Linked DNA regions of Rhinolophus ferrumequinum. The protein of the gene in region 2 purifies or fractionates together with the protein of the main gene of each other region. This does not show direct contact. Links are inferred from orthologs where the notes say so. Each region holds a gene or a part of one and is shown on either strand. Other genes may lie near its edges. The genes, in order: GNG2 and GNB5.

Evidence for each region.
Region 1: the proteins of GNB5 (region 2) and GNG2 purify together in Homo sapiens (affinity purification with western blotting; 4 studies listed by BioGRID and IntAct, with this or other methods). This does not show direct contact. The link is inferred for Rhinolophus ferrumequinum from reciprocal best matches to the Homo sapiens genes GNB5 and GNG2.

Annotation. Positions count from the first base shown.
Region 1 is NC_046289.1:40,616,454-40,629,234, forward strand, and holds the start of GNG2 (guanine nucleotide-binding protein G(I)/G(S)/G(O) subunit gamma-2), read right to left. Parts: upstream 6,141-12,781; 5' UTR 6,115-6,140; coding exon 6,032-6,114; intron 3,011-6,031; exon of another isoform or gene 2,925-3,010; intron 1-2,924. UniProt on the Homo sapiens protein: Guanine nucleotide-binding proteins (G proteins) are involved as a modulator or transducer in various transmembrane signaling systems.
Region 2 is NC_046289.1:55,792,595-55,805,182, forward strand, and holds the start of GNB5 (guanine nucleotide-binding protein subunit beta-5), read left to right. Parts: upstream 1-7,415; 5' UTR 7,416-7,551; coding exon 7,552-7,663; intron 7,664-12,588. UniProt on the Homo sapiens protein: Enhances GTPase-activating protein (GAP) activity of regulator of G protein signaling (RGS) proteins, such as RGS7 and RGS9, hence involved in the termination of the signaling initiated by the G protein coupled receptors (GPCRs) by accelerating the GTP hydrolysis on the G-alpha subunits, thereby promoting their inactivation.

The DNA.
Region 1 (12,781 bases), about 15 Mb from region 2:
TTCACAAACAGGGGTGGTGATTAGTAGTCTGTATAGAAACATATTCAGCTACTCCTAGAGATAGATGCTTTCATTACTGGTGAGTTTAAATTAGGATGATACATTTTCTTCTGGCTCGTGAGAACAGATATTATCAATCTAGCAAATGGTTTTCCAGAGGCATTGAATCTTCTATAAAAATTTTCATTTATCTGTCAAACTGGCATCAGAGCAACCTACCTCGATTGCTACTGTGAGCCTCTCTTCCCAAAGCCAACCTCACATCTTCCTTATGTTTTTGTCTCTGCCAAGCATAGAAGGATCCAGGGAGACCCTACAGCAAGTGGATTCAGTCTTCTCTCATCCTGAAGAATATTCCCATGAAAATCAAACCAAAACTGAGTAGGAAAGCAAGGTAGACATACTTTCGGTTTTAACAGGTAGCTATTCATTAACCTCACCCACATTCAATTACTTTTGGCTCTACACACATAAGGCGTGTATTTATGACTAATGCCTGGTACTCTTTCTTTACCTTTTGCCTTGCTTGGAGAAGCGAATTCTGCTGAAGCTGCTAGAGAATTCTGCGGTTTATAGACACTCATTTTCAGAAACCTTGAAAGGTTGCTTAGTGAGAGGCCTCAGCATCCTCAGACCTTTTCCTCCCTTCAGCTAATGTTAGACAGGTCATGCAGATAGGAACTGCATCCACCCTGGGGGGTAGATAGGAATGGGATGAACCCAAACGGTCAGTGGGACCGACCCATTATAACATCTATTTAAAATAGCTGGAAAAGAAACAACAAACAACCCTTTATTTAAGCCAGCTTACTTGCTGGGTCTGTCATTCAGGTGAATCCTTATTAAGCAACGGAGCCTGATTCATTTTACAGAGGTCTAATTAATACTCTGATATTACAGAGTCCATGAAATTCCTAGGATTTGTTCCTAAAAATCCTAATACCAGTAATCCCACTTGTTTGTGAAATGGTTTTTATTCCTAAGAGTTTTACATATACACTAATGGCAGGACAGAATCTCTAATAAAAGCCTTTAAAGATTACTAAAGTTCTGAGAACACGGAGAGCGTCCATGATTTATATGCGACTATGGTTTAGTTCACACCAGGCATTGTGACGGTACAAAGACTGGAAAAAGGCAAACACCCAACAGGGACTTCAGAGACTTGGTATTTCCATGAAGGGTTTTGCTGCCACGACAAAAACCTTAGGATTCTAATTACACAAGAGGATCCATCATTTGTTCTCTTCATTGTTTGCAAAGAACACCAAAAGACTCAGTCTTAAAAACTTTCAGTCTTCCTTACATAACAGATCATTCTTCCTAAACATCTGGGTGGCCTTATTTAATCTAACTTGGCAATTAAACAGAAATCTTGCCAGCCCTCTGTGGCTACTCTCCTTTCAAATCTCAGTATAATCAAGAGATTTTGGGGTTTGTCTACTTAATGTGCCAGGCCATGCTAGGAGCCAAGGACAGAACAGGGAACCAGATACAACCCGGTTTTCAAGGAGTGTATACTCTAAAGGTAAAGACAGACCCATAGATAAGCAATTTCAACATGGTGTCTTGTGTGCTAAGCTAGGAGAAAGCCCAGGTATAAAGGAAACATCTAGGAGGGGCACCTAACCTTTTTTGTTTTTTGTTTTTTTGTTCCCCAGAGAGAAATAAAAAAGAAAAAAAAAAGCGTTTATAGTACTAATGTGAAATATAGTGATCTGTTAGGTTAAGTAAGAATTTCTCTCCAAGTAGAATGGTGGCCGCTAAGGACTGGGGGCGAGGGAAATGGGGAAATGTTGGTCAAAGGGTACAAACTTCATTTATAAGATGAGTAAGTTTTGGGAATCTAATGTACAACGTGGTGACTATAGTTAACAATAGTGTATTAAACACTTGAAAGCTGCTGAGAGGGTACATCTTAAATGTTCTACACACACACACACACACACACACACAAAATGGTAATTAGGTAAGATGACGGATGTGTTAACTAACCTTATTGTGGTTATTTTGCAAGATAGCATGCATTAAATCATCACATTGTTCACCTTAAAGCTACACAATGTTATATGCTAATTATATCTCAATAAAGCTGGAGGGAAAAAAAGAATCTGCTGCATAAAGAGTCCCCTGGGAAAACAAAATAAACACTACTATGAACTTGCTTTGTAATAACTGTGTAAGGGCCATTGTGGTTCAATCTTGAATAATAAAACAGTGAAGTACAAAAAAATAATGATTTCTCTCAGTTAACAAATGCAAAGCACTGAGGGAGTGCTCAGTGTACAGTCTATGGTTTGTTCAAGTCATAGACCTAAAGGTAAACCAAATGTTTCAAGTGACAAGGAAAGGAACTTAATTTATACATGTGACAGAAGCTGACAACAGAAGCTGAAAACAAAGATACCAACAGTTCTCTCCAGCTTTGGACATGAATTCTTCTTTGATCTCTGGCCACATGATCGAGACAAACTTAAAGGATGTGGAATCAGAATTTGAGCCAATGACATAAAGAATCAGGCACGACTGATTTTGGAGGTTTAATGTTATTTACTGTCATTCATCCAGTGGAAGGTGGGTCTTAATTGAACTAGAGACCCTGACTTACAAAAGAAAATCTGAACTTGAAGAATTTTAATACTATCAAATTGGGAAAAGGGATTAGAGAAAAGAAGTATGGTGATAGTAATTCAAAGTGACATCAGCTCCAGATAAGCACTAGACATTTGATCCCAGACAAAATTATTTACCATGTTGCAGGATTGACTATGCACTCAAATGGAATTATCTGACCAGATAGGACTGCTAAAGGTCAGGGAGGACAAAAACTGAGAAGGGCGGCACAGCCCAGGAAGCAGGGAAGACTCTTCTCCTAATTAATAGCCCAAGAAAAGGAATCAACTGAAGCGTGTTTGGCAACTTGCCTCAAGATAGTCGCATCTGCCTCAGCGGGCCGCCTCTTTCTGACTGGTGAAAGGTGCCCACACACTGAGTTTTCATTGATCAGGACCTAGTGAAAAGTTATTTTATATGAATGAGGCTGAAAATAGAGAAATACAGATATCTGGCACCTCTATCCAAGTATTTTCTCAAAAAGATTGTATTATGGTGACTTTAATATACCTGGATACTATAAATGTTAGTCTATTTTTTATTGACGTTTAAAAAGGAGTTAGTAAAGAATAACAAAGATAATCGTTCAAAAAATTAGACATCTCAGACAGGGAACCATGTCAGTGGTCATGTGAGGGCTGTCAGGGCGTGCGGGAACCCCAACCTTTGGTCTACATTTCTGCCCACTGCATCCCCCGCCCCTGAAAATAATTAGTCCAAAACTCATTCAAAAGTCAGAGATAAGCCTTCTGCCTTTTTTCTTAGATATGAATCTACTTTTACCTATCATTTCTCTGACTTGTTTGGATGGGAAGGGATATTTTAAAAAGTGAAGATCTGAAATCCACTATTTTGCTTTGTTCTTCATGACTTTCTCCAAATAAACTTAAATGCACCTCGGTGAAGCCTGGCATTAGAAGCAAACATAAAGTCAAAATGATGACTTCGGGGGATTTGGAAGACAGCAAAACAATGCAGTGTAACTCATCATGGCCAACAACAGATTTGAGAGCTCACGAAATACTGCAGATCACTTTTTAAAAAATGGACATTTTATGTTCTCAGTATCCCCACACCTTTCTTCTTCTCAAATCCTTATTCAGCTTAAAAAGACAAAACAAAAACACAACTGATCACTTCCTTGGAGCCTTTTCCTTTATGGCCCTACTCTGTCTTCACCACTCCAAGTACATTTAAGACTTCAATGTCAAGTCTTACATAAGGGAATTTGAGCAGCTGGCCCCAAAGAAGGGAGCATCTTCTGATGTTCAGAGGAGCAGACTCCGAGCACTTCCTGTCTTTGGAACATTGTAATTACTTACAATGGCCATTCCATGGGTTGGGAGGAAGTACAACAAGGAGGTACAGAATCCATCCAGTTCTAAAGTCTTACTACCTGGTTTCAGTTGGATCTTCTGCCGTACACTAACTGGTCAACTTACTTTAATACTCAGCCTCAGTTTTGTCAACTGTAAAATGGGAATATTAAAGTAGCTAGTTCTTAGGGTTGCTGTGAGAATGAAGTAAGATGATTCTTGTACAGTGCCAGAATAGTGCCCCAACATAGTACATGCTTAACAACTGCTGCTACTATCAGGATGATGAACACCAGTGAAGAGGACAGGCAGCATCACGAGAAGTAGATAAGAAAGAGCATTACATATTTTAAAAGCTCAGCAGGGTCAGTGTTTACCTTTAATTATTTACACTTTTGGTAGATCCTGACACTGAGAAATATTTTACTCAAAACTCTAGTCTGTATCTTAGGGGTTGCCTAACAATTTAAGATGAATCTGATCTATGGACTTTCTCCTTTATAGCAATTTGGGCCATCAGAGGCTGCTTTTACCTCAAAGTCCCTCTGTTGAACTGCTGAGCAGAACTTTGCTCTCACATTTACTTACCTCTTTCCTCTTCCGTCTCTCCTCTGACCGGTAATACTTTCAAATATCAAAGTCCGTTGCTGAAGTAATACCCACCGTATGTAGGTCTGATCTTCCTAAATGTCTTACTGTGTTTCCCTGAAAATAAGACTTAGCCGGACAATCAGCTCTAATGCATCTTTTGGAGCAAAAATTGACATAGTACCCGGTATTATATTACATTATATTATGTTATATTATATTATATGACCCAGTCTTATATCATAGTAAAATAAGACCAGGTCTTATATAATTTTTGTTCCAAAAGACACATTAGAGCTGATTGTCTAGCTAGGTCTTATTTTCGGGGAAACACGGTAGATTTCAAAATTACATCTCCTTATGCCATCCTTCTTAATTGATTAATTATCTCAACTCATAGGTATTAATAAGCATGATGATGTACTACTAACTCAACTGAAATTACTCATAGTGACAGCTGATATTTAAATAGCACTTCATAATTTAATACAGGTCTTCTTGCTGCATTACACCATTTTGATTTCATAGCTGTTCTACGATGGCAAAACAGGTGCTATCATTCCTATTTTCAGATTAGGAAACTGGGGTTCACATGGATGAACTGGCTTGCTCTAGTCCACACAGCTGTTAAGTGACCCTACCTTAGGAACTCACAACTTCTGATTTGGTCTGTGAAGCCAATCAGAACAGAAAGCTAGTTGTTTCAAGTTATTCATGCTAAGATATGAATGACCAACAGCTTAAACCTATCAAGAGACATGCTTTTAAAAAGAGAAATCTGAAAAGGCTAATGAATTTATAATCATACAATAAAGATGGGGCTGGGGGACTTAGGTATCTTTGAGCAGAGAATCTTTCGGATTTTTGTTGCCCCTTCCCCCTGGGCTGCATGGCCAGCCTTCAGCTGAGATGTCTCAGGGGGTCTGCTGAGGCTGAGAGAAGAATGAACCTATGCCCCTAGGGAATCTGCGGCCCTTTCCTGTCACAGCTTGGTTTCTACTCCACTTTTATCTTAAATTCAAATACATTTTACATTTAATTCTATGTTTACTTTAATATAAAAAATATTTAAAACTAGAGTGAAATTTTACCATCTTAATCCTGGTACATGGTAGCATTCTCTGTTTAAAGAGGTGCTGTGAGTCCATTTAGAGTCCCACAGACAAACGTCTTTTCATTTAAATCTAAGTCATATATACAGAGGGTGCCAAGAAAAATGTATACACATTTTAAGAGAGGAAAAAACTGTATTAAAATTACACCGATGGTAACCACTTTGAGCACCTCTTATAATTGCAGAAGTTAAACGCGACTTGTATTCATCTTTTGTTATCGGTATATATTATTACAATTTTAATAGTTTTTTCCTTTCTTAAAATGTGTATACATTTTTTGACACCCTCTATATCATATACATATATATATATGATCTAAGTCATATATATATATATGATTATATATGATTTCATAGCTTCAAAAAAAGTTGTGAATCACTAAATCAACCCTCTCTTTACCTCCACAATTCAGGTTCCAATTTTCTGGAGGCTTGATGATCTTTATGTAATTCTCCAAGACCAAGAGGCAACTCTCTCCACATAGCTCTGCTTCACTCTGGGTACCCTCTTGATGGTTTTCAACAGGAAATGCGACACCCTGGCTTACGGTTGTTGCAATAGAAAGAAACTTTACACAGGTTCCAACCATTTCCTATTTGATGCCTATTATTTTCTCTGCTTAGTTATTATGTGTAAATACCGGTATTTTGCGAAAAGTAAAACCGCCTGTACAACGGGAAACCAACAGAGAAAGTTTTTGGCAGAAAGAACTGTCCTGCTCACAGTTGTATGTTGGCCTGCTGAAGGCCGCGCTCCTGGGGCCAGCTCTGAGTACCCTGTACCTCTGGGGGAAGCGTCTGCAGGGCTGCGCGGCCCGCACGCACACTTCCCCTTCTCCACCCCACCACAGCCTTGGAAATTAGCAGTTGCAATCTTTGACTGGATGCCATTGAGCCATCCCACCCGCGGCTGCTCAGGAAGCACATACCAACGAACAGAATGAAAGGGGCTTTTATAAACACAAGTCGGTTATTTCTTAAACAGACTCCCCACATAAAGGCTTTTTTGTTTCTTACTCTTTAGGAAAAACTGAGCTCCTTCTGAACAGTCTTTGGAGAAGGAACAGAACTGAAGATGGGAGGAAGCTCAGTGGGGGAGGCTACACAGCTAGGGACAAAGGAGGGGCAGTGGGGAGTGTCAGAGACTTTCTGAGGTAAAAGCTCCAGTGTTTGGTGGCTGACGGAGTGGGGTGAAGGTGGTATTGGCAGGGCTAAGAGGGGTTGGCTGGACAGCCCTTGGGGTCTTCTCCCCCAAGGGATCCATCCAGGCAAAGAACATGTAGGAGAGAGCCTAGTATTCTGGTCTCCAGAAATATTTCAGGGAACTAGGTGTTCTCCGAATAGACTTAATTTCTTGTCTTCTCCTTCTCCTTTTCTTTTTATCTAAAAAACTACATCTTATATTTTACAAGATTCACAAGCAATTTTCTTCCCATCATACTATCCTGGTTTGTTTTCTTTTCCTAAAGAAGCAAAATCTCCTAAACTATTTCAGACGTCTCAGAATCTGAGTAGTATATAGGAAAGACTAGTTTACAATTTGACTTACTTGGCTGTAACATGATAAAACACACATACACACACACACACACACACACACACACACACAGAGAGAGAGAGAGAGAGAGAGAGAAAAGATACATAGTAAAGTTTCAATTTATTCTTCATTAATTAAACATTTAATAAAAACTGATCATAATCTAACTGAATCCAGGTGGTCCGCTTATAAAGAAAATGCCAAGGAAATTAGTACGGTTTTAGAGATTTTGGATGCATTAAGAAAGGAAGAGAAAATGATGCTGCTTATCGTAATTCTGTATTAACTTTGTTAGAACAAAATCTCTACAGCAGGCAGAAGTCAGCTGAAGTTAATGCTTATGATTTGTAAATGAACTTTTTCATGATTTGAAAGATCCTTCCAAGTTTAATTTATCGTATCTCATTATATTGCTTGAAAAGAACAAAAACTCAGTTGCCTTAAGAGAACCCACATCTCAGCACCTCTGGGAATGGCACTTATCTCTGCTGCTTTGCTGCCCTGGCCAGAGGTATAACGGCATTATGAAGCAAGCACTAGTTTAATATCCTGTACACAACCCATACTCAGGGACTTAATTACCTGCCTGTGTCCTAAGAAAGAACAGAGTCCATGTGGGTGTCAAATAAGGCATTCTATAGTTGTGGCCCCCTTATCAGCAATAAGAAGTTGTCCCTTTAAAACATGTCTGAATCAAAGGGAGGTTTGGTAGGAATTATGGAAATGGAAATCTCGGTTCCCACACATTAGTCTGTTTATATGTTTGTATCAGTGTCTTGAGCATTCCGCCTCTACTGGAATCCCATCTTTCAAGGAGGTGAACTCCTTTCAGAGGCTATTAATAATAGAAACACTTCTTAAGTACTTACCATGAGGCAGGCACAGTTCTATGCACTTTCCTTAAATTAATTCATTGAATTGTCACAACACTATGTGGTGGGTACTAATATTATCCCCCATATTACATTTTGGGAAATGGATATACAGAGAGGTTAAGAAGCTTACCCAAGGTCACACAGCCAGTAGGTGACAGAGCTGGGCTCTGAACACTCACAATCTGGTTCCAGAGCCTGTACTTTTTATCACTATACCACACAACCTTTCAGGACTATAGATCTAAAAGGACCTCAGAAATTATTTCATCTTAATTCTCTCATTCTATAGGAAAAAGAATGAGAATCAATGGAAGTTAGGTGACTTGCCTTGGGACATATAGCTTGCTAGTCCTTGGAAAATCCAGAGCAGAACCAAGGTCACTATAATTCATGTATAAATACTGTTCTCTTTTCTCCCTTCCCTCTCTCCACACCCAGAATAATTCAGGTTTTTTCTAAGGAGCTCAGTACTCTTTTCACTATTCCATGTTGCCTCCTATATTACCATGGCCCCAACGACGGCAATTTGTCAGGCCCATGTACATTTACGATGTCTTAAATGATTAAGAAAGATCAATATTGGCAGCAACACAGACAAAATTCAGGGTTGGGGTATTCTAGTCATCTTCCGTTGTCTATAAATGATGAAAGGGAAGAAGGACTAAGAATCATACAAAGGATGCTACTCTAAGAGCTCAAAATCCTTGGACCTTCCCATTTACCGGTTCCATCCAAAGTAAGTCTTCCCTATTGCATCTCATGGCAGGTACCCTGTTTCCATCCTTCAGGGTACTTCTGTATCACAACTTGTAATTGTATATATAATTGTGTGTGTGTTTACAGGTAGACTGCAAGCTCCATGAGGGGCCATATCTGTTTTATTTGCCTAGAACCTGGTACACAATTAATTGAGTAGGTACTCAATTAATATTTGTTAAATGAAGTTACACCAAAGAGTCAGCAACACAATGCTAAAAGATTATCTCAGACTGCTCCCCATTTTGCTTAATAAACATCTATTCTTCCGTGCTCATTACCTGGGCCATATCCATTACTAGAGCAGAATACGTACAAACAGCCAAAGTTTCAATAAGCAGAGGTCTAGTTGGCTTACAAATCTACCTTTTATTCAGGGTCCAGGAACCGCTAGGGTGGGGCTAGCTATAATGTTACACCTCAATTGTCAAGCAGAAGACCACTCTAAAACATCTAAATTATGGAATATATTGGGAGGAAGTGGATTACTTTTAAGTTCTGAGAATAATTCAAAGTAGGTATGCAGAGTTTGCTGCAAGACACTTCTTTGGGGACCTCCTTGATAACCTAGAAAAAATAATTTGTGTTTGGTATGTTCACATATGGCATACATATTTATGTGTGAAGAGCTATTTCAAAAGACCTTAAGAATGTTCAAAACCAAATTATTCTTTTAATATTTTAAACATTTCTCTCACAATCTTGTTTACACATTATTGCATTATAATCACTTGCATTATTATCCCCCAAGAAAAGGTCTGTTGAGTAAAATTAAATGTCAGTGCAGTCACTATGTAAAACAAAACGAACTGTGAATTAATGGAATTTAAATGAACGAAGTTTTCACTCTAGCTGAATTATAAACAGTTTTCTAAATTTTATATCCTTGATGATGATGTATAAGAAAAAACAATAACACTTGGGCTTTTCACTCTCTCACAATGAAGAAAACAGATGCAAGTAAGTAGCATTAACTCTGTGCCTAAGTGACCCATCTGCTTTAGTGTCTATTTTATAGCTGGATCCAAGGAAAATCTTCTTTTTGTGCTATAGATGTGAGTGTATTCATTTACTTATTTATTTTGAGAGGCATAAATGATCGAAAAGAGAGCCAGCAAAACACAAGGTAAGCGCTCTCTCCTGGGGACCGTGCCAGAGATGAACACGTACCTTTTTATTTGTAGAAAATACCTGTGTGTAAGTTGGGATGGATAGATATTTTTAAAATTTGGATACAACCCTGAGCCCCATCTTGTCAAGATGAAACTGCAAAACGAGCTCTCTTTTTTAAATGAAGGAAATAAAGTCAAATTTATATTTCAAAAAATGCTCTCTGTTGGGACTTACGTCTACATAAGAACAACTGAGAAGCAGAAGTAGCTGGAAACTGCTCTGTGCATTGCAGAGACAGTGCAGGTCTGCGCCAATGTGCACGACCACATCTTGGCACCACAGCCAAATTTTCTGAGGTCCAAACCTTGGCAGGCATCTTTGCCACTGTCAAATAAAAATGCTTTGGGGAACTCTTCTATCCCCTTGATCCCACTGTTTTGCCCCATCACTCGGGCTCATTACCCTGTAGCGTTAGTCTTCCCTTTTATGGAGAGGGAGTTGAGGTTGTTTGTTAGAGTTTAAAATAATATGTGTCTGATGATTGATGAGGACATAATCAAAAATTCAGATTTGCTTTTATGATTAAAATAATCATGGGTAAATAGCATGATTATTTAGATTTTTCTTTTAAGCCTGATGTTTACTTTCAGGGAACAAAAAAACTCCCTTGATGAATCCTAAATACGTTTAATCAGAGGAGATTCTGATTTAAAAGTATACCATTTGCTGGATGTTAAGTAATAAAAAAGACATGTTTCTAATAAATTCAGCACCCAGTTTATGTTCTGGCTCTAATCTCCTAGAGGATGTTGCATATCGCAGGGAGATTCAGAGGACGTTGCAGGATGAAGGAAGCCAGTCCCATCTGACAAATGGGATGCAATTTTCTTTTCTTTCCTACTCAAGCTCAGCAAGTGCATCTATGGAAAATTGCTCCTTCTTTATTAATCTTCCCAGCAGTGGCTGGTTTCACTGGGAACTGAGATAATGATGACTGGGTATTTTTACTCCAGAGCATTTGAAGACTATCTTTACTTTGATGAAAGAAATTTCAGAAATGAGACATCATTTTGAAAGGGTGAGGCTATTAGCCGGAGATGCATTCACATGCGTAAGGGCTACCAGAGGTTTAGGGGAAAATCCATTAGGCCATGTCTTTCCTGGGCTTCACTTCTCCCTCTCAAGCCACGGTCTTACTTTTAGCAGGCTTTGCCTACCCAGTACTTAAGCCAGCCCTGAACAAGCCTGGCAGTGTATTTAAAATCAGATCCAGCAATGGGGGAGTTCTGAAATAGATTTTGCTTCTTAAGCCATATAGCTAGGGAGCTCAGAACACCTGGCACCCAGGTAATGTACCCTGCATTCTGCCCACTGGCCAGGTCTTCTGCCAGGCCTTAACCCCCACTGCCCAGGACTTTCTCCCTGAATCTTACATGCTGTTAGATGGGAGGTAGTTTCAAAGCTGCCAGATGGTCCTGGAACCCTGACACTATTCACTACATGACGTCCCCTGTCCATCGCATTGCATCCCTGGGATACCTACAGCCATCTGGGTGTGGTCCATGGCAGCCGGCACTGTCCCGACCACACCCAGCTAGGTCTCCTTGCGCTTCCCTGGGCTTCCTCACTTCTCACTGGCCACAGATGAAGATGCACCAGCTACAGACCCTGATCTCCCTGGAGACTGTTTAATCTGATTAATTTCCATTTTCTTTTCCAGAATTATTTTGGTGATGAAATTTTAGCATTTTAAGATGTTATAACATTGGCATCCAAGAGACTGAAATATGAAATAACAGCGCAGAATAGGTCCTTGTGGGAAGTCAATGTGCAAATTTCCCACCATATTCTGCCAACGGTGCACAATTCTCAACTACTCCATTTATCTCCAGGGGGCAAATAATGGATACGTTCCAGCACCCACTCAATTTGTATTTTCTTCTGGCAAAAATAATAATAGATTTAAAATATGGCTTTTCATCTAAAATTAGCCCTTCTTTAGACAATATTCGCTACCAGTCAACACAAAGAAATTTCATACAGAAATAAAATGATTATGTAGATAGAATGATGCATAAATTTCATTAATTAAATCAATTGTTCTTTAATCATTTGGCACCTATCTATATAGTATGTTGAACAATAGCGGACAAAGAAATAAAGAGAAAGAGGTCCTGTTCTCAAGAAATTTCCCTTTGAGGTGGACTTTTATAATCTTTTAGTCCCACTATATCTTTTGTATTTCTAATGCAAATGTATCTGTACCAGAAAATGACAATAATTATAGGTGTATCTTACTATAAATATTGTCATCACCTATCACCTACTGCCACACTTCCAAGACAATGAAAAAGCCCAGATGTGGTATTCTGCAGTGAGTTTCTGCCTGAGAAAAGATTACAACATCTCTTTGCAAAGTTCTAAACACGTGACCCTGAATTCATATATGTAGGTCAAAATGATTATTTCCTGCTAAATATGTGCTCCTTTCAAAGAACTAGTTTAGAGCAATGTTATGCTACTTGTTTTTTTTCAAATAGCATTTTGTCACAAACAATTTTAGAAAAATATCAATTTTCTATTGTGGGCAAATTATTTTAAGGGCTTAAAATTCATAGAGGAAGGTTGTTTTATAAAATAAAACTACACGTTAACTCTGATTGGAGGACAGCTGCCAGCAAGGATTGGGGTTTGTTTGAAAGGTGGTGTGAGCCCGACCCGACCCCATATTGACAAGTCTACTGCAGAAGGGAACTGGTGGCTCCTAATGTATCACATTTATCCATTTTCCCCTAATTGTCCATTTATCCCGAGTTCATTTTGTTTACCTGCTGCCTTTCTAAATCCCTCCCATATCCTGACAGCTTAG
Region 2 (12,588 bases):
ACATCTTCTGTCACTCACTGTGAGGGTGTGGCCGCTGTTGTTTTGTAAAACTTAACACACCCACGCTGTCGCCTTGGAATCTCAGTTGGCTTTTACTAGAATTCCTGGAAGGCTCATGTTTTCTTCCTGGTGCCTCTTGGTCTAGATCTATCTTGTACAGGGCACCACTCAGAGGGCATAAGATCCAGGGGGACACTGTCTCCCAAGTTTTCTAAGGTTCATGTGAAGTCCAGGAATATTTATGAAGCCACAGCGGGGTCCAGGGGCGAGTCTTCCAGGAAATAATTCCATTTGGCCATGATGGCCTACCAAAAGGCCTCTCAGCCCATGCCTCGGTTTACCGACTGAATTTACCGACTCTTTTTACTAAAAATGGTCCTGCAGAAAGAAGTATTTATTATCTCAGACCCCTCTGATTTTTAAGAGAATATTTAATTTGAAAAGAACCATATGAAGTATTTATGTATGTATATATATTTAAAACGAATATAATGTTAAAGCTTAATTGTTACATCTATCATCTGCTCTGAAAGAACATTTTTTTAAATCTTGTCTGCCAACATATTTGCCATCATTTTTCATTACTATTTTCCATACAATAACTTTTTAAAACACAAAGCTTAAAAAAGCAACCTAAATGATTTTCTCTATCTTATCAGCATTCAAATATGTTTTACATTTTTCTCAGAAAAGTACTTGAAGAATTGTATCAGGTTCCTCCTTTTGAGAAGTCACTGTTTCCCAAGTTTTATGGGAACTGACTATTCTTTGGCCTCCACACCCTCCACTCCTCCCTTTCAGAGCATAAAACATCATTTAATAAGCCTCCTTGCCTGTGGCCGGTGGGCCAAGCGCCCTTCTGCAGCACCGCATGAATCCCAACTGGCAATTCTGTTTCTGAAAGCCACAGGCAATCGGCGTGCTTCTGTAACACAGACGTTTATCTTAGCAGTGGAAATAATATATGATCACCCTAGTAGTATGTAATAATGTCTTTTCACATTATAAATGATTTAATTTAGTTCATTTAGATACACTGTATATGAAGAAATGAAAAGTAGACCTTGTAATAGTTTAATCAATAAAATGAATTCCCGTATGAATTGGGTCAGATTCTTTTAATTGCTAGGAGATTATATTTTTCTTAAGTGCACAAGTTTATGCCTTTCTCTATGGGTCATACTTACAGATGGAATCTTTATAGAGTCATTATATCTCTTAAAACGTATATAAGAATTTTTAGAGAGGAGTAAATATGCCCTAAGTCCTAGCTCAGGCGGTGTCTCCGTGGCTGCCAGAATGAGAGGATACTTTCAGAGAGTCGGCTGGGTTTCTGATCTGCACCACGGCCTTCTCCATGCTCCTTCCAGACTTCCCCTATGCCCTGAGGAGCCCATCACCCTTACTTTTCGGCTACCATAGCTCCAGGTTCTCGCCCTGGGTGAGCTTACCTGGCCAGCACTTACCCTGGGCTGTAAATCAGTCATGTTCCCCATTTCCCCCACTGGCCTGTGAGATTCTGGAGAGCAGGTCCACATCTCACTCATCCCTGCCTTCATCTCGATGGATGTTGGCCAGGTGGAGAGAAGTGCAGGAGCCCGGTACTATTGAGGGGGCAGGGTTTGGGAAGAGGAGGCGGGGGGGGGGGGGGGGGGAGTGGGGGGGGGTTGTTGGTCAGCATTGGGAAGGAGTGGATCTTGTTTGGGGACAAGACAAGGGGACCTGCAGAAGCTAAGAAACGTATGCATGGAGAAGGGGTAGTGGGGGTTCTCTCTACATGGGGTAGTGGGGGTTACAGTGTTGATCAGTGCTACAAAGCTGAAGGTGGGCACGGTGGCCAACATTAAAGAGGTGCGGGTGAATTGAGGACAGTGAGAAGGTGGGAGGTGCCAATAACCTCCAGTCACAGGTGAACAGAACATCAGGATTGCTCGGTGGAGCAGGGTGTGGATTCACAGGCAAACCTCTGAACTCTGCCTCCCACTGAGGGCAGAGAATTGAGCTCAAGAAACTGGCCCACAGGGGTTCTGAGGGCACCTGGCAGCACAGATGGGCAGAAGGTTCAAGGGGTAAGTGACGCAAAGCGCAGTGAGTGCCCCAGCAGTGAACACGGAGCTGCAGGGTGGCAGGGATGAAGCAGCCGCGCTGTAATGCCCAGATAAGGAGATTAGACAGGATGCAATCAGTCCCTTTCCCACCGTCACCTTCCAACTGCAGCTCTAACTTCTCGCCTTTCTGCTGATCAGTTCCAAGTGTTGAGTCTGTGGAAGGTATGGATGTGTTAACATTAAATTAATACTCAGGCTTTCTGAAATGCCCAGGTAAGTGTTCAGATGTGTACATACCAAGGAAGAAGCTGTTTTGTTTTTAAAATATGTTTAGTATTGGCATTAGGGAATAAGTTAAGCATCTTGAAATCATTTAATCAGTTTTAAAAATTGATCCAGGTAACACTTTACATGTCAACATAAGCCTCCAAGTGCAGTTTACTGACTTGAAAGAGGTTTTTGACGTAAATATTATATAGTCATAATAAGTTTGGGAGATAAAGCCACACTGTCATGTGTATCAGTGGTTTATTCTTTTTTATTGCACGAACATATCACAATGTATCTAGTCTACTGTTGGTAAACATTTGGGTTTTTCCAGTTTAGAGCTATTATGAATAAAGCTGCTATGACATTCGTTTTTTGTTTTGTTTTTGTTTTTTGTTTGTTTGTTTTTTACCAATTTATACCCCTCCAGCAAGGAACGAGGTCCAGTTCTTCACATCCTCGCCCACACTTCAGATTGTTAGTCTTTTCCATTTTAGGTATACTGGTGGGTAAGTAGTGATACCACAGTGTGATTTTAATTTGCTTTTCTTTGATGACTAATGATGTTGAGCACCTTTTTATGTTTATTGACTACAAGAATATCTGTATTTGTGAAGTGTCTCAATAAGTCTTTTACCCATTTAAAAATAATTTTTATTGAGATATAATACACATAAAACTCACCATTTTAAAGCTTACATTTCAGTGGTTTTTAGTATATTCACAAGGATGTGAATTATCTAATTCCAGAGCATTTCCATAACCCCAAAAAAGAAACCCCATACCCATTAAGCAGTGTTCCCAACCCCACACCCCATTTCCCCCTGCCCTCCCCCTCCCAACCTCTAATCTACTCTCTGTCTCTGTGGATTTGCCTATCCTGGACATTTCATATAAATGGAAACATAACTTGTAGCCTTTTGTGTCTAGCTTATTTCACTTAACATAATGTTTTCAGGGTTCATCCATATTGTAACATATACATATACATATGTTGTAACAACATTGTAACAAGAACTTCATTCTTTTTTTATTGCCAAATAACATTCTACTGTATGGATGTAACACGTTTTATTTATCTGTTCATCAGTTGATGGACATTTAAATTGTTTCCACTTTTTGGCTTAAATACTGCTACAAACATTTGTGTATAAGTTTTATCTTGGGTATATGCCTAGATAAACCCAAGTGGATTTGCTGGGTCATATGGTAACAACTCTGTTTACTGCCAAACTGTTTTCCACAGCTGCTGCACCGTTTTACATTCCCACCAGCAAAGTTCTTTTGCTCATTTTTAATTGGGTTAATGAAGCATTATTTTAAAAGTAAAAACTGGAGATACTCTATATATCTAAAAATAGGAGATTTGTTTAATAAATTATGATACTCCATAGTATAGAATAATACTAAAGTTATGACCAAAAGAAAAAAAAACAGCTCTATAAGTGCTAACAGAATAAGGTAGGAGAAAAAAACAAGTCGCTAACAGCCCCAATTATATAATTAACAAAGCTGTATCTATGGTGTCAGAAAATATGGAAGAATATGAACCAAACTAAATAAGGAGAGTAGATGCGGAACAGGTAACGGGGACTTTTCCCTTTTGACTTTCTATATTTGGCATTGACTCTTTTAAAAATAAATATGGGGTGGTGGGTTTTTTGGTAATTTTTAACCATATATTTAGGTGAAACATTTCAAATAAATTTTGTGTTTGGTGCAGGGTAAGCAGAAGGTTTGAGAAGTTCTACAAACTTCTGCAGAGCAGCTTTGTGTAAAAACTTATTAAACTGAGGCATTTTTATCTTTTTCTTGTCAAAATGCTTATTGAAGTATTTGCTCTGTAAAAAGTTCCCTCGTCATAAAGAGGATTATTGACAATAAGTACAATAGAATGGTCTAAAATGAAATTTTGCTCATGATATAAATATTAAATGGAAAATATCTGGATGAAAAGATATAAGAGTATACATGAACAGTGTAACTGCAATGGTCCTAAAAATCTTGCATGTGCCAAAATGTGAAAAGGAGTCTCTGTGGGCAGGGATCATAGGTGATTCTTTTCTTCCTTATACCTTTTTCATTTTTCCAGACTATTTACCATGACCATAACATTTATGGTTGTAAAATGCTATAATCTTTCAAATTTGGTTTGTAGCTTGCCCATGTGTAACCAACCAGATCTAAAATGTGATATGATTCAAGGTTGATATGACTCAAAACTTGTGGTCTCCATTAAAAAATGGTGTTTTCCAAGAATATGCAATGACATGTGAAGAAGAAAACACTGTTAAGCAAAATACTAAAGTTCAAAATTGTATATGGCATATAATTCCAATTTTTTAAAAAACATATACATATATGCCTATAAAGATGTGAGAAGAAGACACAAAATGCTAACAGAGGTCAATTATTTGTTAGTATAGGGCATGTGGGTGATTAATTTTCCTTCTTTGTGTCTTTCTGTTTCTAATCATTTATAATGAAAACATGTACAGCTCTTATAATTTGAAAAAAAATTTTAATTCAGTCTGGGAATGAAAACATTGTCTCTATCCAGATTTGGAATATTAGCAATTTTTTCAGCTTCTCTTTCTCTTGATCTCCTACAACTCCCAGCCATCCTTCTGTTCCTTCCCCACTGGTTCCCTCAGTTCCTCTCGCCTTCTATTCCTGCAGCTGCTACTCTGTCCAGAGCTCATTTCCTCTTCCACACAATGTGATAATAATCTCTTAACCTAGCTGATTTTCCTGCTGTACAGTCTGTCTCTGACCTACTTCTAGAAGCACAAATGCTGGAATAATCCACTTAAATGACGTGGCTCCCTTGCTAAAAAACCCATGGCTCACTTTCCTAATGCGATTACTTGGAGTCTTCAGCACAACCTTGTGACTGGCTGCCTGGGCAGGCTCGGGCAGTGGGAGGCAACATTACTGGACCTCTACCACGGGCCAGGCTCTAGTGGACCAGCTCTTTTGTGTTCTTGAACTCAGTTGTGACAAAACAGAGCAGCTTGGTGGTGCTGGCTCCACAGTAGGGGTTGTGGAGTCCCACTGCATACAGAGTCAGGCTCCACCGCTGACCTTGAACTCATTGAATCCCTTGGACAGCATTTCCTTAGCTGTCACACAGATGTCCTGCCTCCCTCTCAGGGTGGTTGTGAGAGGTCAGAGCTGATCGCTTCTGCTCTCTCACCTACAAGGGACTGTCCTCTATTCCTTTGTTACCTAGCGTTCTCAAGAACTATGCCAGCTGCCCCTTCGCTGGAGGAGTTCACCCAATTCATGATCTTCACATTCTCCCTGCAGCCCCACTGTGACCTCAGCATGACAGATATTCCCCTCAGCGGAATACCTGCCTTACAAATACATCCTGCCTTACAAATACATCCTTGAAAATGTGGCTCTGTTGAAATATACAAATCAGTGCCCCCAAATATCTTTATACTCAGGAAGTCATTTCTTTAAACCTTGACGTGGCCCACTCTTTGAAACACCTATTCAATTGGCACGTCTACGATGGCCACTCCCTTCCACCTTCACCTCCTCGTCTTCCATCTCCAGCAATGGCACCTGACCCCTCAGCCTCCCGAACAGAAACCTAGGAGATACCATAGACATCTCCCTCTCGTCTCCACATGTCTCCGAGTCCAGCTCCTTCTCCTTCCTAAGTGTGGTCCACATCCATCCCACACCAATGCTTAGTTCAGGCCTTCCTTGCTTCTTGCCTGGAAGAAGTAGCCATAGGCTCCTCTCTGCTCTTTCCGCGTCTCCCGCTCCACCCCTCCCCTCCTTCCTGCTGCAGCTGCTACTGCTGCTGCTGCTATTACAGCCACTCACAGGGCAGCATAACATCTCTGGAGCACTCACTATATTCCGGCCTTGAGCCAAGTGCTTCATGCACTGTCTCTTAGAATTCCCCTGACAATCCTATGAAATAGATTTTTAAGATCCTCACTTGATAGATTAGCAAACGAAGATTCAGAGAGTTTGAGTAACTTGCCTAAACAGTGCGGCCAGGATCTGGCCAGCCAGAGACAGCATCCTCAGCCACAAGATGGTTTTGCTTTCTCCAGGTTACCCTTCCTTCAGTGGCCTGGGCCTGTCAACTTCCGGGTGTTAGGCAGGGACCCTGGGTCTGTGGCTGTCAAATGTTTACCAAGTAAGTGGGATGCTGCATTCCGGGCAGGGAACCAACACATTTACTCAGCCTCATGGCTTTGGTTGGGGTCAGGTTCCACCATTTTCTGACTCTTGTCTTTACTCCAAAATTTCACCCTGATGAGAGGAGTTTTTTGTTTTTTAATTATACTGTTCATTACAAAGATGCTTTCTGTTTTGAAGCCCCACAGGTTAACACTGTGCTGCAAAAATCCAGGTGTCCTTGTCTGCAAGCTGCCAAAACAACTGGTTAACTGTAAGTTCAGAAAACCTATTGTCTGACGCTTTCTTGCTGATTAAATAAATGAGTTGGTGTTGACCCAGCATGTTGTAATAAATCAAAGTTTACAAATTAACTGCATATACTTTATCCTACATGTAGAGGTCTGAGCAACTACCATGATAACAGGAAGACGAACTTTAAAAAAGCTGTTTCTGTTGGTTTTTCTCACACACTTACATCCCTTTTTTCTCTCTCTTTTCCAGCTTCATCTTGGGTAAAAGATGTGTGATCAGACGTTTCTAGTTAATGTATTTGGCTCCTGTGACAAATGTTTCAAGCAAAGGGCTCTGAGACCAGTTTTCAAGAAATCTCAACAGCTCAGCTACTGTTCAATATGTGCAGAAATTGTAAGTGCCACTTTTTAAAAATTCAAGTGGTTGCCTGTCTTAAAATGATGTCTCATGTGAGGGTCCAGTGACGGATAAGTTGTTATAGAAGCAGTTTACACACACAAACGTTTTCAGCGCAGCTGGACTAGGTGAGGCAGTATAGCATGGGTGGGGGGTTAGGGTGTGAACTCTGATCTCTGACTTCCTGGGTTCAAATCCTAGTTCTATTCCCCCGTGTGCCAAGCGGGGGGCGCCGAGGGGGCGCTGTGCCCGCAGGCGACGCCCGCGGGGAGGTGGGGTCGGCCCAGCAGCCGGGCTCGCAGCCACCCGCGTCAGCGCCGGAGGGCGGGGCCGCGCGCGGAGGAGACCGGCTGGAGCTGCGCCTGTGGCCGCCCGGCCTCCTCCCGCAGCTCACCCGCATCCCGGCTCTCGGCTTCCTTCCCTGCCGCGTCCCCGCGCGAAGATGGCCACGGACGGGCTGCATGAGAACGAGACGTTGGCGTCGCTGAAGAGCGAGGCCGAGAGCCTCAAGGGCAAACTGGAGGAGGAGCGGGCCAAACTGCACGACGTGGAGCGTGAGTGCGGGCCGGGGCGGGGGCTGCGCGCGGGGAGGCGGGCCGAGGAGACGAGACCGGGCTCCCGGGATCTGGGCTGCGGGCGGCCTGGGCCCGGGGCGGGATGCGGGCCTCGGGTGTCCCGGCTCCAGGTGAGGCGCTGGGAGTAGCCCGAGCACCCAGGCGCGCCCGTGTGGGGCAGGAGCTGGGCGGCCCTCGCAGGCTCCCGGCACCTTACAGAGCCGCCTCTGGGCCGGGGCACCTGATGGTAGCAGCCCCTGGACGCTGGCCTCCCAAGGAAGGATCGGGGACCAGTTACGGTCATCACCTGCCTGCAAGATGCAAACTGATCGAATTCTTGCCATTCCCAGGCGGAGCCGGTGGAGGGGGGTGTCAGTGGTGGCAAGCACAGCGAGCCCTTGTGGGCGCGGCCTAGGGTAAACTGTCTTGTTTTTTCATTATTTGGCTTTCTCCATCACTGTTGTGTCTTTTCTCAGTTTTGCTTTTACATGGAACCAGACACTGATTTTAGAGCTCGTTATTCCAATCTGCCCACTCTCCTTGGAGGTGGAGAGCCGGAGGGGGGAAGCAGAGGAGCTTACCACATCCAACCATTTAGTTCACTTAAGGTTGTTTGAAAAGCTTTTGGATGGATGCCGTATGGTTAGCATCAGAGACTAATAGCAGTCTTACACAAACGTCATTATTGACCACGACCATAATTCAGAACAGGCTCTCTGATACTTTTTTTTTTTATGAGTGAGCCATTAAATAGCCAGGTGAAATGACTCTTGGCAGGATCAGCTCCCCTGTTCTGTGTCCAGTGGTTCATCCTCAGCAGAGATTGGGCTGGGGCCAAGCTTGGGGAAGTGGTCTTATCTGCTTACGTTTCAGCTCTAAGGGTGGCAGCTCCCCTTTGCTGAGCAAGGCCTCCCGTTGGTGCCCTCAGACACACCTTTTCATGGTGCTCCTGCCGTTCCTATTTGGTACCACCCCCCCTTTAAATTCTATTTGGAAAAGAAAAATGGGGTTCATGCTAGGTCCTTTAGTACCTGATTCCTTTCTTTGAAAATCACTTGATAGAAGCAGGTGACCTGATTCTAAAGTATGCTGTGCTTTCGAAGGGGCCTCTTTTAAATAGGAAGCACACTAAGCCCCTATGTCATTTAGAAACATGTCCAGCTACAAAAAACCATAAACCCCTAATAAAATAGTTAAGCAAATTGGGAGTTATTTTTCGTACATAACAAGAACAAGGGTAGGCGTCACCGCTTTGGTTCAGCTGCCTTCAGGGACCCACACTTCTGTCTGTCTTCTCCACCACCCTGAGAGCAGTGGCATTTGCCCCACAATTATCATATCACTGCCACAGCTCTAAACATCACCCCTCTATCCAGGGCAGAAAGAAGGTGGAATGTGGGTACCAACCTCTGTTTCTCCCTTTTATCAGGAAAGCAGTTTCCCCCTAAACCTCATTTCTCCCCAACAGGTTTTTGCTTACACTTCATTGACCAGAACTAGGTCACGTGGCTACTGCAAGGGGAGGCTGGAAAAGGGAGGACTGAGCTGAGCATATTGTCATCCCCAAGCAGAGCTGGGTTTCTGTTATCAGGGGAGAAGCAAGGAATGGAGATTGGGAGGCATAGGACAGAGTCTTCCCCATTTCCCTTTGCAAATTCCTACACTCTGCAGATGGTAACGATGATGCAATGAGTGTGCTTTTAGTGCCTCTGGGGTAGGTCTGATTTCTCCATTTTACAGATGAGGAAACTGAGGCACAGAGGTCACAGGGCTTTCGGAAAGACCCCAGATAATAAGTGGTGGGATCAGGATTCCAGCGCAAGCAGTCAGTACTCCAACCCAACCTCACTTCAGCTTCATGCCTGGTCCAGAGGGGCTCTCCAGAGGGACACTCAGTAGTGCCCACTGGGATACTTTTCAGCCTTTTCTGTGCATTTGCATTCTGTGCATTTGCAAATTGCTTTAAGGCAGAGAAATAGTCAAGATGCAGTTTTTTCAACAAGGAGTCCCTGTCCTGCCAAGAATGCAGTGCCCTCAAAGGTCACGGCCAACTTTGGACTCACAGTAAGAGGATCTATCCTCACCTGCGTATGAGTCAGAATTTTTGAGTTGAAAAGACCAGAAGTCATGTGGTCATGTTCCCGTCTATGCCCCCTGAAGCTTCCAGACCACTCGCTACTCCTACATAAAACCCTGGCTCTTCTGAGGCTCCTGTCATTTGGCTGCCATCCCTCTTCTCCTCCCCCACGAGCTGTCTTCTGACCTCCCAGCCAGGCCCCCTCATTTCTTAAGGACGTTAGCACATGGCTTGAGCCTTCCTTTTGACCCTAAGCCCTGGTGTCTTCAGGGTTCACAGGGGTGACCCTCCAAACACACTGGCCCCTCACTCTGTGACAGCCCCCTAGGATCTTGTTAGCACTCAGAACTGCTCCTCGTCTGACCACAGTCTCTCCCTTTGGAGATCTCCGTGATCTAGCATCATTTGGCTCTTCTCTCTTCCAATCTCTCAGCTTCTTTCTATACATGTTCACATTTTGGTGGTGTTATATAGGTGGCTCTGTGACCCCTACCCCAGTTGGGGAAACCTCTTTAGATCATAAGCTTAAAGTGACCAAGTTATCCCAGTTTGCCTGGGACTCAGTAGTAAAGCAGATATTCCTGCATCCTGGAAAACACTTCAGTTCTGGGCAAACCGGGAAAGTTGGTCAGCCTTCTGTTAGCTCTGACTTGCCCAAATTCTTGGCTTAAAAAATAATCAACACGGGGCCAGCCCGGTGGCTCAGGCGGTTGGAGCTCCGTGCTCCTAACTCCAAAGCCTGCTGGTTCGATTCCCACATGGGCCAGTGGGCTCTCAACCACAAGGTTGCCGGTTCAACTCCTTGAATCCCGCAAGGGATGGTGGGCAGCGCCCCTGCAACTAACAACTGCATCTGGACCTGGAGCTGAGCTGCGCCATCTACAACTACGATTGAAAGAACAACAACATTGACTTGGAAAAAGGCCTGGAAGTACACACTGTTCCCCAATAAAGTCCTGTTCCCCTTCCCCAATAAAAAATCTTTAAAAAAAAAAAATCAACACAACAAAATTGTACAACATGAACTTGGAGGAAAAGTGAACTTTCCCCAATTCCAGACCCTCGTTTCTTCACCTTCCATCCCTTTGACCCTCAGACAGCAGCCATTCTGTGGGGCCCTCATGCCCAAGTCAGACCCTCCTCAGCCAATATTACATACAGGAAGTGGCTTATGTGGGCAGCCTAAAGGGAAGCCAGCCTCCATCAAACTCCACAGCCCTAGGACCCATGTCCCCGTCTCTGCCTTTCCCTTATTCCTGCAGAGCTTCCTGCCCTGGATGTTTCTCCTTATCCCTTCAGCTTGCCTTCTGCCATTTGTAAGTGCTTCCTTGCTTGAGTCTAAGGCATTTTGGAATCATGAGGTTAAATTTTGTATTAGTTTCCTATTGCTGTTGTACACATTTCCACAAACATAGTGGGTTAAAGTAACCTAAATTTGTTCGGTTACAGTTCTGGGGGTCAGAAGTCTAAAATGGGCCGCCAGGCTGCATTCCTCCTGGGGCGCTAGGGGAGAATCCATTCCTTGTCTTTTCAGCTTCTAAAGACCATCTGCATTCCTTGGCTTGTGGCCCCACATCACTCCAACCTGGTTTCTGTCATCGTATCTCCTTCTTTGACCCCGACCCCCCCTTTTTTTTAATTTATTGGGGTGACAATTGTTAGTAAAGTTACATAGATTTCAGGTGTACAGGTCTGTAATACATCATCTATAAATCACATTGTGTGTTCACCACCCAGAGTCAGTTCTCCTTCACCATATATTTGATCCCCCTTACCCTCATGTCCCACCCCCCGCCCCCTTTACCCTCTGGTAACCACTAAACTATTGTCTGTGTCTATGAGTTTTTGTTTCTCATTTGTTCGTCTTGTTCTTTTGTTGTTTTTGGTTTATATACCACATATCAGTGAAATCATATGGTTCTCTGCTTTTTCTGTCTGACTTATTTTGCTTAGCATTATACTCTCAAGATCCATCCATGTTGTCACAAATATTCCTGTATCATCTTTTCTTAACGCCGAATAGTATTCCATTGTGTATATATACCACAACTTCTTTATCCATTCATCTATCAAAGGACATTTTGGTTGTTTCCATGTCTTGGCCCCCGTAAACAAAGCTGCAATGAACATTGGAGCACACGTGTCTTTATGTGTAGATGTTTTCAGATTTTTTGGGTAGATACCCAGGAGAGGGATTGCTGGGTCATATGGTAATTCTATTCGTAATTTTTTGAGGAACCTCCACACTTCCATAACGGCTGCACCAGTCTGCATTCCCACCAATAGTGTATGAGGGTTCCGTTTTCTCCACAGCCTCCCAACACTTGTTACTATTTGTCTTGTTGATGATAAGCATTCTAACTGGGGTGAGGTGATATTTCATTGTGGTTTTTATTTGCATTTCTCTGATGATTAGTGATGTTGAGCATTTTTTCATATGTCTGTTTGCCATTCTTAAGTCCTCTTTGGAGAAATGTCTCTTCAGGTCCTCTGCCCATTTTTCAATTGGGTTGTTTGTTTTTTTGTTGTTGAGTTTCATGAGTTCCTTGTATATTTTGGATATTAGCCCTTTACCCGATCCCCCCTTTTATAAGGATCCTGTGATTCCATTGGGCTCACCTGTAGAATCCAAAATAATTTTTCCATACCAAGATCCTTAATCACATCTGCAAGCTCCCTTTTACCCCATAAGGTCACATATTCACAGGTTCCAGGGATTAGGATGTGAACATCTTTGGAGGGCCTGTCACACAACCCTTTAAACTAGAGGGGTCACCTGCTTCATCCTCAGTCTTCAGGCACAAAAAGTTTTCTTCTCCTCCCAATAACCCCACCCCCTGTCCTTATG